Oryzias latipes: one gene and its partner. The protein of the gene in region 1 binds, or shares a complex with, the protein of each later gene. Links are inferred from orthologs where the notes say so. Each region holds a gene or a part of one and is shown on either strand. Other genes may lie near its edges.

What was found. The genes of interacting proteins can lie anywhere in the genome.
Region 2: rbm15b (region 1) and wtap share a complex: the UniProt entries of both Homo sapiens proteins name them as parts of the WMM complex. The link is inferred for Oryzias latipes from reciprocal best matches to the Homo sapiens genes RBM15B and WTAP.

What each region holds. Positions count from the first base shown.
Region 1 is NC_019863.2:6,226,014-6,232,776, reverse strand, and holds rbm15b (putative RNA-binding protein 15B), read right to left. Parts: upstream 4,072-6,763; 5' UTR 3,513-4,071; coding exon 1,020-3,512; 3' UTR 251-1,019; downstream 1-250. UniProt on the Homo sapiens protein: RNA-binding protein that acts as a key regulator of N6-methyladenosine (m6A) methylation of RNAs, thereby regulating different processes, such as alternative splicing of mRNAs and X chromosome inactivation mediated by Xist RNA.
Region 2 is NC_019882.2:7,319,794-7,326,262, reverse strand, and holds the end of wtap (pre-mRNA-splicing regulator WTAP), read left to right. Parts: intron 1-657; coding exon 658-836; intron 837-2,862; coding exon 2,863-3,017; intron 3,018-3,091; coding exon 3,092-3,750; 3' UTR 3,751-4,312; downstream 4,313-6,469. Other genes in the region: acat2 (acetyl-CoA acetyltransferase, cytosolic), read left to right, coding at 4,698-4,746, 5,603-5,737, 5,804-5,985, 6,056-6,173, 6,265-6,408. UniProt on the Homo sapiens protein: Associated component of the WMM complex, a complex that mediates N6-methyladenosine (m6A) methylation of RNAs, a modification that plays a role in the efficiency of mRNA splicing and RNA processing.

The DNA.
Region 1 (6,763 bases):
TAACTTTGTTTCATCTTCTCTTGTTCCGCTTCACTAATTAGCGGCACAGACAACCTTTCAGACTAGCTTTGCACCTGAAACCCATCACACACCACCTGTCCACCCCTGCTTCAGCTCATCTCCAGTCTTGATGCAGGTTCTGGTTTTAAATAAAAATTAGGAGGAACCCTTTACACACCAAAGTTCTGAGCAGTCAACTTCTTTTGTCTCCATTTACCGCTAAGTTGTTTTTATAGGACACAGATTTTTCTTTCCCAATTATTTTTATTTGCGTCGTCTTTTACTGTCTTTTTCATCTTGATGTGAAACATCTGAAATGGTTTGATCCCATCAAAGTGCTGACATGTGATGACAGAAATTAAAACGAGTAGTTCAAGTGTGGATGGACTGACAGATTAAAAACTGAAGTTTGAAATGTCCACAATAAAAAAGAAAAATTGAAACAGTACGACTCGAAAATATTTTTTTAAAACGTCTCCACAAGGTAGTTTACATCTTTATCCATAGAAATTCATTCTAGTCCATGCAACAACAGAGAAAACACTCTGGCACCATAAAAAGCAAAGTGAAGTGTGGAATGAGCGATCTGATAAAAACACCGGCGGAGTGGTTAGGACGGCCGGGACTCTGTCTACTGGCCCAGGAGCCTTTGAACTATAAATAAAAAGTTGGTAGAGTCCAGAGAGGAGAGACTCGATCAGCCGGCATCAGCTTACAGTCCAGCTGCTCTGCAGAAAGTCTCCATGTCACTGGAGGTGTCGGCACAGGTCAGGTGACACCAGGATACAAACACATAAAGTATGAAGCATAGAAACCATCAGGCTAGGCATTAGTGTTCTCAGTTCCACCTGAAGCAGAAAGGGCGGCGTGCTGCCTGTCGGGGCGACGACCTTTCTGCTTTTTTTAATTGAATGCGTCCCGGCGTGACTGTCGGAGGGGAACCTCGACAGAGGAGTCAAAACACGCCCCCCAGCAAACCATGGAAGGACTTGTAGTGTGGGACTGAGCCGGCACCAGACTCAATTAGTGTCGCTGACGATCACAATGACCATGTGCTCCTCGTCCAGATTACCCACAGTCCTCCGGGCAGCCTGCAGGAACTGCTGTGAGAACTCACCGGGGGGGAAGGCGTACAGCATCCCACCCGTGCCCCCCTCTTTGGTGGCAGGCAGACCAACCACCCCCGCCGCCTCTTTGTTGCGCAGGTATGTCACCAGGTGCCGGAGCAGACGTATCTGCAGTCCCGGCTCAGGGGCGGGGGCCTGGCGGTCGATGGCGCCCTGCAGAGCCAGCAGGATGGCAAAGCCGTCAGGGCGGCCGAGCTTGATGCGGCGCGACACCTCGTCCAGCCGGGTCTGGTCCATGCGCAGGCGCTGGGCAATTTTCAACTGGCTTGGCTGGTTCCGGTTCTGCAGATTCAGGCTGTCCTTCAAAACGCCGCTCAGGAAGGAGGCCCCTCCCTCCAGCATGTACAGCTCCGTGGGGAAGCTGCTGTTCTTCAAGGCAAAGAAGCCCTGCCACACCTTGGTGAGGGAGCCCTGGGCGTACTCCGACAGCGAGCTCAGGGTGGACGAGGTGTCCGTGTGGGCAGCGGGGGGGCTGGCGGCGGCCACGTCGCTGTTTCGATGGTGGTTGTTGACGCTCGCGGACCTCTTGCTGTGGTGACGGCTGGATGGGGGCTCTTCCTCTGTGGCATTTGCGTGTCGCCCCCCTCCACCACTGTCAGGGGAGTGGTCTCTTGGCTCAGTGGTGGAGTCCGGGGCTCGAACCCGTGCTCGGTCTGGGCTTGCATCAGGGGAGGCGGTGCCTCCCGGAACTCGAACCCTCGACCTTCCCTTTTCTTTCTCCTTTTCCTCCGACTGCTTGTCGACAGACAGACTTCTGCTTCTCCTGCGGCTCCTCCTCTCCTCCCTCTCCTTCAGCCAGCGTTCCCTGCTCCTGCTGCGGCTCCTCGCCCCTCGGCCAGCTCTTCCAAACGCCTCCACTCCTCCCACCCTCCTGTCCAGGCTTCGGGTGGGGCTGCTGGGAAACTCTCTCTCCAGCAGGACCCTCTCTCTCAAAGAGAGGAGGCTGTGGGAGGGCGGTGAGGAGCGCTCCCTGGTTCCTCTCAGCTCGCGCTCCAGGCTGCGATGGCGACTGTAGGCCTCTCCAAGGAGGTCATAATGCGTGGGGGGAGGCACAGGAAGCTGGTAACCAGGGGGAAATGGGCGGGAGGGGCTCTCCTCCACTTTAGCAAAGTCCACCCTGAGGCGGCGCTCTGGCCCGCCCAGAGGAAAGCCCCTCATCTGGGTACAGGCGGCCTGGGCTGCATCCAAACTTTCATACTGGATGTAAGCAAAGCTGTCGCCCTTCACATAGTCAATGTTCCTAATGCTTCCAAAGCGGTCAAATTCCCGCGCCAGAGCGGTCAGCGAGTTTCCTGGTCCCAGACCGCCCACCCACAGTCGGGTGGTGGGGTTGGCTTTGCCGTATCCGATTTTAATTGGGTTTCCACCAATAAGACGGCCCTGCATGGCCACTTTGGCCCTGTGGGCCATGTCAAGGTTCTGAAACTTTACAAAGGCATAAGCCCCGCCCTGGCCGCGTGCTGGCCGTTTGATGACCACGTCCTCAATGATGCCGTATTTATCAAACCCTCTCCTGAGTTCAGCCTCCGTCACATTCCCGTCCAGGTTTCCGATGAACAGGTTGCTGGTGGCCCTCTGGTCATCCTCGGGCTTCAGGTCCTCCACTACAGGCATGGGGGGGAACGCGTAGGGCCGCCCCCTCTCATCCAGCATACCATAATAGTCCAGCAGCCTTTCCCGGTCTCTGCTCAGACCCAGGCTCTCCAGCGCAAAGTGTCTGGCCCGGAGGTCCCGCATGCTGCTCACGCCGGTCCCGGGTGGGGACAAGGAGCGCTGTCTGTACGGATAGGGGGCGTGTAAAGGTAGATAGCTGACGTCCGGGGGGGTGACGCTCCGCCTCCTAACGTACATGGGCTCTATTTTGAGCTGTCTATCACCCAGAGCCAGCCGGGAGGACTTGGCGTGCCGGGCCTCCTTGGCGTCCTCCGGCTGTCTGAAATTGACGTAGGCGATGCGGCCGAGCTCCGGCGTGTGCGACAGCTTCACGCTCACGTCCCCGAACTTTTTGAATTCGTGGAACAGCGCGTCCTCGACGTCCTCGTCCGACACCTGCGAGCCCAGGTTGCTGATGAGCAGCGTTTTGTACTCCAGCGTGCCGGGTCTCGCGGCGGGGAGCTCCGCGGCCCGCAGCGGCGGCCGGCCCAGGAGGCTGAGCTCGTGTCGGTGGTGGAGCTCCAGCGCGGCCGCGCGCTCCTCCCGAAGGCGCGGCTTCTCCCGCTCCCTGCTGCGGCTCCGCCGGTGGTAGCTCCGGCTCTCCGCCAGCAGCAGAGCCAGCGGCGGCGGCGGCGGCAGCTCCTCTCTGCGGGCGCTCTCCCGTTCTCTCTCTCGAATCCGCTTGGCTAGGGCCCTGGATGGGCTGCCGTCTCTCACGGCCTGCCGCTTCATTTTCCAATAATGATGGAGAGTTTCAACTTTTTTTCCGAGCCTGCAGCGGAGATCCGGCGCTGCTGCGGATTCCGGGAGCGTTAGCTCGGAGACGGCGGCGGCGCAGGCTGCTTCGGTTAGGGGGCGCTTCCAGAGCGGGCTCCGAGTGGTCACACATTTACGGGGAAAAGAGGAGAAGCCTTTAAAAACATGTCAGCATCACAAGAGCTGCACCAGCGCCGCCATCTTGGACAATAGGAATGTGCGCGTTCCCAAAGGAGGGCGGAGCCTGTAGTGACGCAAGCACGTTGCACGTTTTGATTTGAAAACTCCTGCATACCAAATTGTCCTTGTTTATTAGGTTTATCCATTTTTCAAAGGAAATCAAAATAACACAGCAAGCAGATGATACTGCATTATTCTTAATAGACAGAAACCACATTGACCTTGATACAAGTATAATTAATTATTTTTCAAACGCTTCTGGATTACGTCAATAGAGATTACGTCTTAGTTTAGTTAAATGTCAAATATTATTAAAAAGTTAACCCTCGTGCTAACCTATGACCCCACCCTTGCATTGACGTGTTCTTCCTACCATGACAAAGGTGGATAAAGGTGGAAAGATTTCATGTAATCCATGGACACCAGTGAAGATCACAAATCATTGAAGAAAAAAGGTTCAGAGCACTGTCTAGTGGGTCTAGATGACCCAACTCCCAATGTTAAAGTGCCTAGGATAGCACAAAGGTTAAAATGGTTAAAGAAAAACATGGTATCCCTGTTAAAAATGTAGTTACATATTTAGGCACCAGTATAACAATGGACAGAAAATCTAGACAAACACAAAACTTCTCCTTGAGAATTAGAAAAAATGCAAGATGTCATGAATATGTGGCTTCAAATAGATCTATCTATTTTTGGCGGGATCCTCTTGGCTAAAGCGAAAGGTATCTCAAGAGAAATTTCTCCTAATCTATCCTTATCTTTACTTCTGTTCAACTTCCAAAGAAATAAACAACCTCTTAGTTAACTTTGTATGGAAAAATAGACGTCACTATCTTCAGAAAGAACTATTTTATGCCCCCTCATGCAAAGGAGGTTATGAACTCCTACATTTCTCAGATTTGAATTATACATTTAATGGTTACTGGATTCAAAAAGGCCTTTAAGACTCAAAATCAATTTGGTACTTTATCCCATTTAATATTTTATAATAAAATCGGGGGTCTTCAATTTCTTTTTAAATGTAAATATCAGAAAGACTCCTGTCAATCTTTAAAATTTGTATCTGCAAGTTTTGTCGTGCCTGGACGTTATGCTATGCACATTATTTCTCACCAAACAAAAGTATAACTTGGAACAATGATGATATAACCATCAAAAATTTGATCTTTTTGATGAGAATGGCAGCCATCGATTATGACAGGTTCTTCAATAAAATGTGTTTTCCAGTAACAAGCAAAGAATTCAAGAGTGTAATGAAAGCTCTTGTCTCAGGAGTAATTCAACTACTGACTTCTAACCTTAAATATCACGAGGAATCTGAAATACACCCTCCTTTAACACTTAATGGTATTGATATTTTCAATCAAAAAATTGCAACAACAAACACATAATACTTTTAGCGAAAAAAGAAGCATAACACCTAAAGGAGAAATTTATTGGAACCATATTTTAAATTATATCAATTGGAAAAAAAGCATGGTTACTGCCAGATACATTTTGAATAAACAATAAAGTTAAAGAAATACATAAAAGAATTTCAAATAACATTTACCCCACAAATATGTTCATTTCTAAATTCTAAAGATAGATAGAAAATAACTGTAGTTTTACTTAAATCAGTTCATCACCTTTTCTACTGTTGTACATCCTTTCACTTCTGGATCCGTTTAGAACAATTTAAAGAAACAAAGTAAACTAATACATTTCAAACAAATTCTACACATTTTAACTTTGGTGATAAAATGGTAGAAAACGTTATTAATTTGTTGCTTCTCCTACCTAAATTTTTCATACAAAAGGGCAAAGTAAGAGAAAAAAAACTCCCAAATTTACTGGATTTAGGATAAGAGATTTGTCAAATTTCTTAAAAATATTAATACATCCAAGGCAATTTTTTGTAAACATAATTTTTTTACCTATACATATATATTTAATGTTTTAATTTCGTACTTGCAAATTTTCCTTTTTGTTAACTATTTCCTCATTAATCTTTTATATTCTGTATTTCTTTTTTTGAAAGATAATATTGGTTATTGCTATCTGATGGTCTGCTTGGTGATGTGATGATGTGTACTTTAATACAGTAAAAAAAATACGTACATAAAAAAAGAGTAGTCTACATGTGGGGAGCATTGAAAAAACAAAACAAAAGCTGCCTTTTTTTTTGTTGGCAAAGAGGGAAAACAGATCAATAGAGGACACTGCATCTTATGGGGTCCAGATGACCCCACCCTTACATTGACGTGTTCTCCCTACCATGACAAAGGTGGAAAGATTTCATGTAATCCATGGACACCAGTGAAGATCACAAATCATTGAAGAAAAAAGGTTCAGCGCACTGTCTAGTGGGTCTACATGACCCAACTCCCAATGTTAAAGTGCCTAGGATAGCACAAGGCTAGGATAAATAGTGCCTAGAATAGTTAAGGAGGAATTAAAAGGACAATCTGCGCCTGCTGAAACTGTCCAATAGTGGATGTTTTTCATGTACTGTGGTCATATGACGTTTAATTCTGGTTTTCGACTATTTTAACACTCTTGTCATTGTTGTTTTTATATTAGATGTACTTTTAATTAGCTCCCATTTAATTGGTTATGATTTCTTGTTTTCAATGACAATGACAGCAAATTATTAAATGTTTGAAAGTTTCACTGACCAGAGTACTGTTTAAGTTGGGTTTTACCAACGATGGCAAATAAAAACCTATGTACCTAGACCAAACCCTCACCAGGAAAACTTTTGGGACCGTAGTCTAAGGGAGGAATTCTTTTTATTCATTTTCAAAGGACAATTAATAGTTTTCTGACAAACCACTTTCCCTCTGATCATCGGAATTGTTGATTTACACCTTTTCTCTTAGTATTTGACAGAGAATGTCCCTTAATCCCAGGTGAACACCATGTGGTCCTTCAGGTACACTTGTTGCTGGGAGGTCATGTGGATCTTCTAGTTTGTGCATTTAGTGCTAGACCAGTAATCTCCTTTCAGAGTAGTAGGTTGATCATTTTGACTGGTATCATTATAGTCCAGTTTTTCATATTTT
Region 2 (6,469 bases), on another chromosome or scaffold:
TGGTTGGTAAAATTCTGCTACATAGGAAAATAGACTGATCTCTGATCTGCTGCATTCTGATCCATCCACTTGTAGGCAGATCCACGTGCGTCTTTGTTTTCCTCGCCTGAGCTGGCATCAGGCTCAGAACTCGTCTGGAAGGCTCCAGTATTGCTCACGATTTTTGTTGCGCTGGTAATGTTAGGTTGAGTCTGTGAAGGGCTGTAAGCTAGCAGGAGAGAGCGATAACAAATGGGTGGAGAAGCAGAGGCAAATTTCTAACGAACAACTGCCTTTCTGCAGAAAATATGTCCTTTAAAATAAAGATATTTTTTACATAATTTTTTTCTACAATTACTTTGTTTTTATATTCTATTTCCTTTTAAGATTACAATGCTATTGTAACACACAAATTTCCCATGTGTGGGATCAATAAAGTGATTCTGATTCTAAAAACAACATAAGCGTAATTACAAGACCACTGGGAAAGTTTTTAAAATCACTCAAAAGAGGATCGAAGTGGGACTTAAAACTAAGCGTCTAGACGCAGATTAGCCTAGATTTTGATCTATTTGAAAGCAGTTTTGTTACATTTTTAAAGGGAAGATGTTTAGGTGTTAAAAGCAGCTTCATAATGTGTGTGACTGGACTCTAACACCTGCCTGTTGCCTCCTACAGACACAGATCCAGTACCTGAAGCAAGTCCAGCAGCCGAGTGCAGCCCAGCTGCGGTCGTCCATGGTGGATCCAGCCATCAACTTGTTTTTCCTCAAAATGAAGGCTGAACTGGAACAGACTAAAGACAAACTGGAGCAGGCCCAAAATGAACTGAGTGCCTGGAAATTTACACCTGATAGGTAAAGACAATCAAAATATCTCCCCCCACCTAAAAAAAAAACAAAACAAAAAAAAAGTCAAGACTTCCTCACGTCCCCCAACCTCACTCTCACTGCAGGCATGCAGGAGCAATGGTGGGGGGGGGGAGAGGCTGACAAAAGCTGTGCTCACCGCGAGGCTCAGACTTGACAGAAATCCAGACACTCCCAAACCAAACTGCTTTTGCACTCTCGCACCGTGCCAGCTACACATCACACAATTTAAAGAGAAAAGACAGTATGGTCAGGTGACACTTGTTTCGGCTCTCTCCTCTTATATCCCCCCGCCGTCCAAAGGGCCCGATGGAGTCCGGACTGCTCTGAAGAGGTGGTCTCTCATTTCTCCACATGGAACTGCCTTCCATGCCCCCTCAGACAGTTCACATATTAAGTAGGGGGTCATGGGAGAAGTTGTGTCCGGCAGGGAGCATCCCTAGCCTAAAGCGGCAATCGAACATTTAAAAGACATTTAAAAAGAAAAAAGACATTTAAACTGTGGATTGCTTCACATAAACAGTAGCTGTCCTGAGAATTTGAAAGACTTTTTGGACTCTCAGATACATTTGAGTAACACCAGGAAAGTCTCTAGAATTTAAAAGTCAGAGACATTAGAAATGACAGTAAGACTGAGCGGAGCAAGTTGACAGAAGAACCACGTTCAGGCGTGAGGGTCTGCTGTCTTTGAACACGGGCCTGCACACGGTAGTGTACTTTTGTTTTAACCTTGTAATGTGTTTTTTGTTTCTTTTCTTTTTTCTTTGATTGACATTCCATTTGATCCTTCTTGTTTCCCTTAGACTCTTACTGCAGTGTGTGAATCCTGCAGCACGACGATCTTCTTTGACTTTGTTGTGAATGTTTTTTTTTTTTTGCACAAGTGACACTTTGGGATGATCGCATATCCAGTTATTGCCGTAGGTGTGTTGAGTCCAGTAACTGAGTTGTAAACTGCAAATGTCCTTGGCACATTGTGTTACGAGTTGACCGAGATGTATTTATTCATTCTGTGTACTGTTTTTGATTGACCTAATCATTTTCCCCACAGCTTAATAACAAAAGAGTTACTCTTTATTTTTATTTTTTTTCATCGCCAGTGTGGTGAGATACTTGTGGACTTTTTGTTTGTACACTAAAATAATTAAGTCACGGTTCTCACCAGGTGAGATAAGAAATGTTTGACATTTATAGGGGTTTTACAAACATTTTCTTTCAACACAGGAAAGAGAAAACTTCAAATTCAAACCAGTATGATGAAAGTTAGAATTACTGAAAATGATGATAAAAAACTTTGGAAGTTTTTATTTTGTTGTTGATATAACATTAAGGCTCTGTACTTGGTATGGGTGACTTAATTTAATATAAAGGGAATGGAAGACATTTAATTATGGTCTACATGTCATTTTTGGATTCACTTTGGCTTCTTGAGTAGGGCACAATGACATGTCACCGTACTGTTTCAGACTTTTTGTGAAGCCAGCAGTATCAAGAGCTAACTGTACTGTGAAAAAAACTGCTCTTTATGTTTTTAAAAAAAAAAAGGATTGCATGACCTTTTCAACAAAGATTTCAAGTTTGAAGGTTCTTTTGTGGGTTTTTTTTTAAATCAAGATTTGACTGTGCTTTGTTTATAACTTTTTTTCCACATCCTGAAATATTTCCGATTCTAATTTTCTCATGCCTTTATTTTTTAGTATTAACCGTTTTCTATGTATAACACAATAACGTAGTTTAGAGTAAAACGATAGAATCGAAATGCCTTAAAAGTCAGAGCATCATTTAGGTTCATGGTTTCATATGTCTGTATTGAACAGGCATCAGACGGCATGTTTAGGTTACTTCAGACGTCTAACTGATGGAATGAAAATGCTTAATAATAGCTGTTAATGACATTGAGGAGTTCCTGGTAAACCCTTGGACAGCTGGAGAGTGAAGAGGAACAGGTCCATGCTAACATTCTGCCTGTTTTCACTTGGTTCACTGTGTGATGTGAGACTTGTTTCCCTTACAGCCAAACAGGGAAGAAACTGATGGCCAAATGTCGAATGCTGATTCAGGAAAACCAGGAGCTGGGGCGGCAGCTATCGCAGGGACGAATTGCCCAGCTGGAGGCTGAGCTGGCCCTGCAGAAAAAGTACAGCGAGGAGCTCAAGAGCAGTCAAGATGGTGAGGAAACGAAAAGCTCCCGTACCCAAATGTCCTCTGTGCATAGATTAAACTAAGCTTATTCTTACTTTCAGAGCTGAATGATTTTATCATCCAGCTTGACGAGGAGGTGGAGGGGATGCAGAGTACCATCCTTGTCCTGCAGCAACAGTTGAAAGAATCCCGTCAGCTGATTTCTCAGTCTCAGGGGCTCTCAGCCGGAGCAGAGCCCAGCAGGACTTCACCCGCTGCTTCCAACTCATCTGCTGAGCTGTCCACAATACAGGAGCCCAGCGCTGCCTCTGAAGCAACAAGCAGAGACTACGGGAGGGTGTCCAATGGTCCAAGCAATGGTAAGTCATCTCAGAGGAGGGAGACCACCACCCCACCCAACTTATACCGGGAAGTCAGTAGCACTGAGGAAGATTTCCCAATGTCCCCCATGGTGTCCAGCCCTGGTGACGCTGAGACCAAACTCTCCAACCACTCATCGGAGGTCCCCGGCAGTCAGACTGCTTCCAGGAGAGCTGGAGGACCTGTGGGTTTCGGAAACCAGCTGAGTGCGGGCTACGAGAGCGTGGACTCTCCAACAGGCAGCGAGACGTCATTAACTCAGCACTCGAATGACACAGACTCGACCACTGATCCCCATGAAGACAAGACTGCCTTGGTGACCAAAGGCGCTAGGACTGCAGGGTCAAGGAACACTCAGAATGGCCTGGAGGGCAACACGAACGCTGGTGCCGATTTGTAATGTACTTTAGAAAGTACTGTCTTTTTTTGTCTTTTTTTTATACAATCTACAAACAAGACAAAAGCTAAATAGTATGTGATGCAGCACTGCTGTCCAAGAAGTTTTTTCACTCTTGTCCCATTGTGTATCTTGATGCCTTTGTTACATTTGTGTAGCTTAACAGGGATATAACAACAAACACTAAATGTTCAATTTGAATTGTGTGGGATTTATGTTTAAAAAAACTTGAGGTTTCACTGGTGTTTATTTGGGCACATCATCTATGCCGTTAAGCTCATGACACTGAAATCCAGCATCTGGTGTTGTTAATCATTTCAAAAGGTGTTTGAATGACAGTAGTTTCACCAATACAAAGAAAGCAAGAACGTCATTTTTATGTTGGCCTCTTTTTTTTTTTTTTTTTTTTTACTTGGTTGGTTTTTTTAAATACAATTTTTGTTTTAAATTGGAAAAAGTTATGTTTGATAGACTTCTAAAATGTGAGTTCATATGTGTCATTCATATTCTGACTTCAACCCTTTTATGTACTGACCAAAAACAATAAAGATTTCTAATACTTTGATGGGGGAACTCGTTATATTTGTCACTGGCACCTATCATGAAGTACAAAATTACATAAGTATAAATTAAACACATTCAAGTAGTTATTTTTATGAGAGAAAAATATGAACGCAAAGCTAATAAACTTTTTTTATGCACCATTTGGGTTGTTTAAACATCCCTGAAGAATGAAAACAGTATTGTAAATAGTATTTACGGAAGTTCATTTTCAAAGACTTGCTATGAATCCTCCAGACCAGTTGGTGGCGCTGTTTCTCATATCAAGGGACTTGCATAAATACCATTCATGCGTTCGTTCATTCAGTTCAGTATCAACTGAGTCGTGTGTAAGTGAACTGACAGAAAGATTTCCTGAAGACTAAAGCTACTCCAGCATTCTGAACAAGATGAACGCCGAGCCTGTTGTTATTGTTTCTGCTGCACGTACTCCAATTGGTAACGTAGCTCATATATATTTACCATGATTTCTTTCATTTCATAGTCCCGTGAATCATATTTCGAATATTTTGTCAAGCCAACACAACATGAAAACATTTTGCATTTCTAACTGAATTGGTTTTACGCTTATCATGTACTTTTTTGTGGTACTTTCCTTCATGTTAAAGGTGTCTTTTGTAAATAGGAAGGTGGTTGTGTCCAACGCGCTGTGTATTTGCAAAGTTACGATTGGCTAGCTCCTGTGTCCGCAGTTTTCTCTTGTTTCTGATTGGCTGGCAGTCATAGGGCCACGGAACACAAGTTTGCTATGATTGGCTGTTCACTGAACGTCTGTGTGACGTAGGGCTCTAATCTTTACTCCTTTTATTGAATCACGATAATTTGGAAAAAAAAGATAGAGCCGTTAAACTGTAAGTTTATAACAACATAAAGTTTAAATATTGTTATTATTTTTACACACTAGTTCCATCGCCTTTTTCTCATTTAATTTATTTTTAAAGTTCAGCCTGGACAGACAGAGGACAAACATGATGAAGGAATGTGAACAAGTGAATCTTCTTTAGTCATGTTATTTTTTTGAAGTAAAGTTCAAAAGATTCATTCTAAGGCAATGTGATAAAGAACTTGCTACAGTGTAAATAATTCAATGCAATAATTTAACTAAAATAGTTAATTAAAAAACAAAATTGTGTGTTTGTATTGGTTTGTTAGTTGTGCTTTTATTTGGTCAATGCTATTCCTAAGGTTAGTATTTCTCAGTGAACTTGTATTTGGTGTTGACTAAAGGCGTTTATGTTTTAAAACAGACAATACTCCTTATAGCCTATTGTCATCACTTCTTTGTTTAATGAAGGATGTCTGAACGGTGCTCTGTCCACACTGTCTGCAAGTGACCTGTGTTCAGAAGTCATTAAGGATGTTCTAAAGCGAGCTGGAGTGAAACCAGAAGAGGTCTCTGAGGTTGTTTTGGGCCAAGTCTTAACTGCAGGTAAATACTTGAAAAGTCTGTAGAGTTTCAGACTGGAGACAAATTCCAAACTTTTCTTTGTTTCAGGGCAAGGGCAGAACCCTGCACGACAAGCCAGTGTCAAGGCCGGTATCCCATATCTTGTCCCAGCATGGAGCTGCCAGATGGTGTGTGGTTCTGGGCTGAAATCTGTGTGTCTGGGAGCTCAATCCATCCAAGCAGGAGAGTCCACTGTAGTTGTCGCAGGAGGCATGGAGAGCATGAGCAGGGTACGCACTAATAGCAGTGTTGATAAAAGTTTAGGAAGCCTTCTCAACAATATTTTTTGTTTCTTTTTAGGTTCCTCATACAGTGCAAATGAGAGCAGGCGTGAAGATGGGAGACGTTTCTCTCCAGGACTCCATGGTTGCTGATGGACTAACAGATGCCTTCCAGGGATACCACATGGGCATTACAGGTCTCGATCAATAGAGCAGTTCTGCAGGACAGTCGGTGTGTGTGTGTGCTGGAGTTTAATCTAAATAAATGCGTTGTGATGAATCCTTAAGCTGAGAACGTGGCGAAGCAGTGGGGCATCAGCCGAGAGGAGCAGGACCGCTTCGCTGTTCAGTCTCAGAACAAAACGGAGGCTGCGCAGAAAGCAGGGCATTTCGATCAGGAGATCGTCCCCATCATGGTTCCGTCCAGAAAAGGTAGGCCCCTCAGTGAGGCTTTTCTGCACTCTTTTAAGTGAACAGATGGAGTTCACTATAT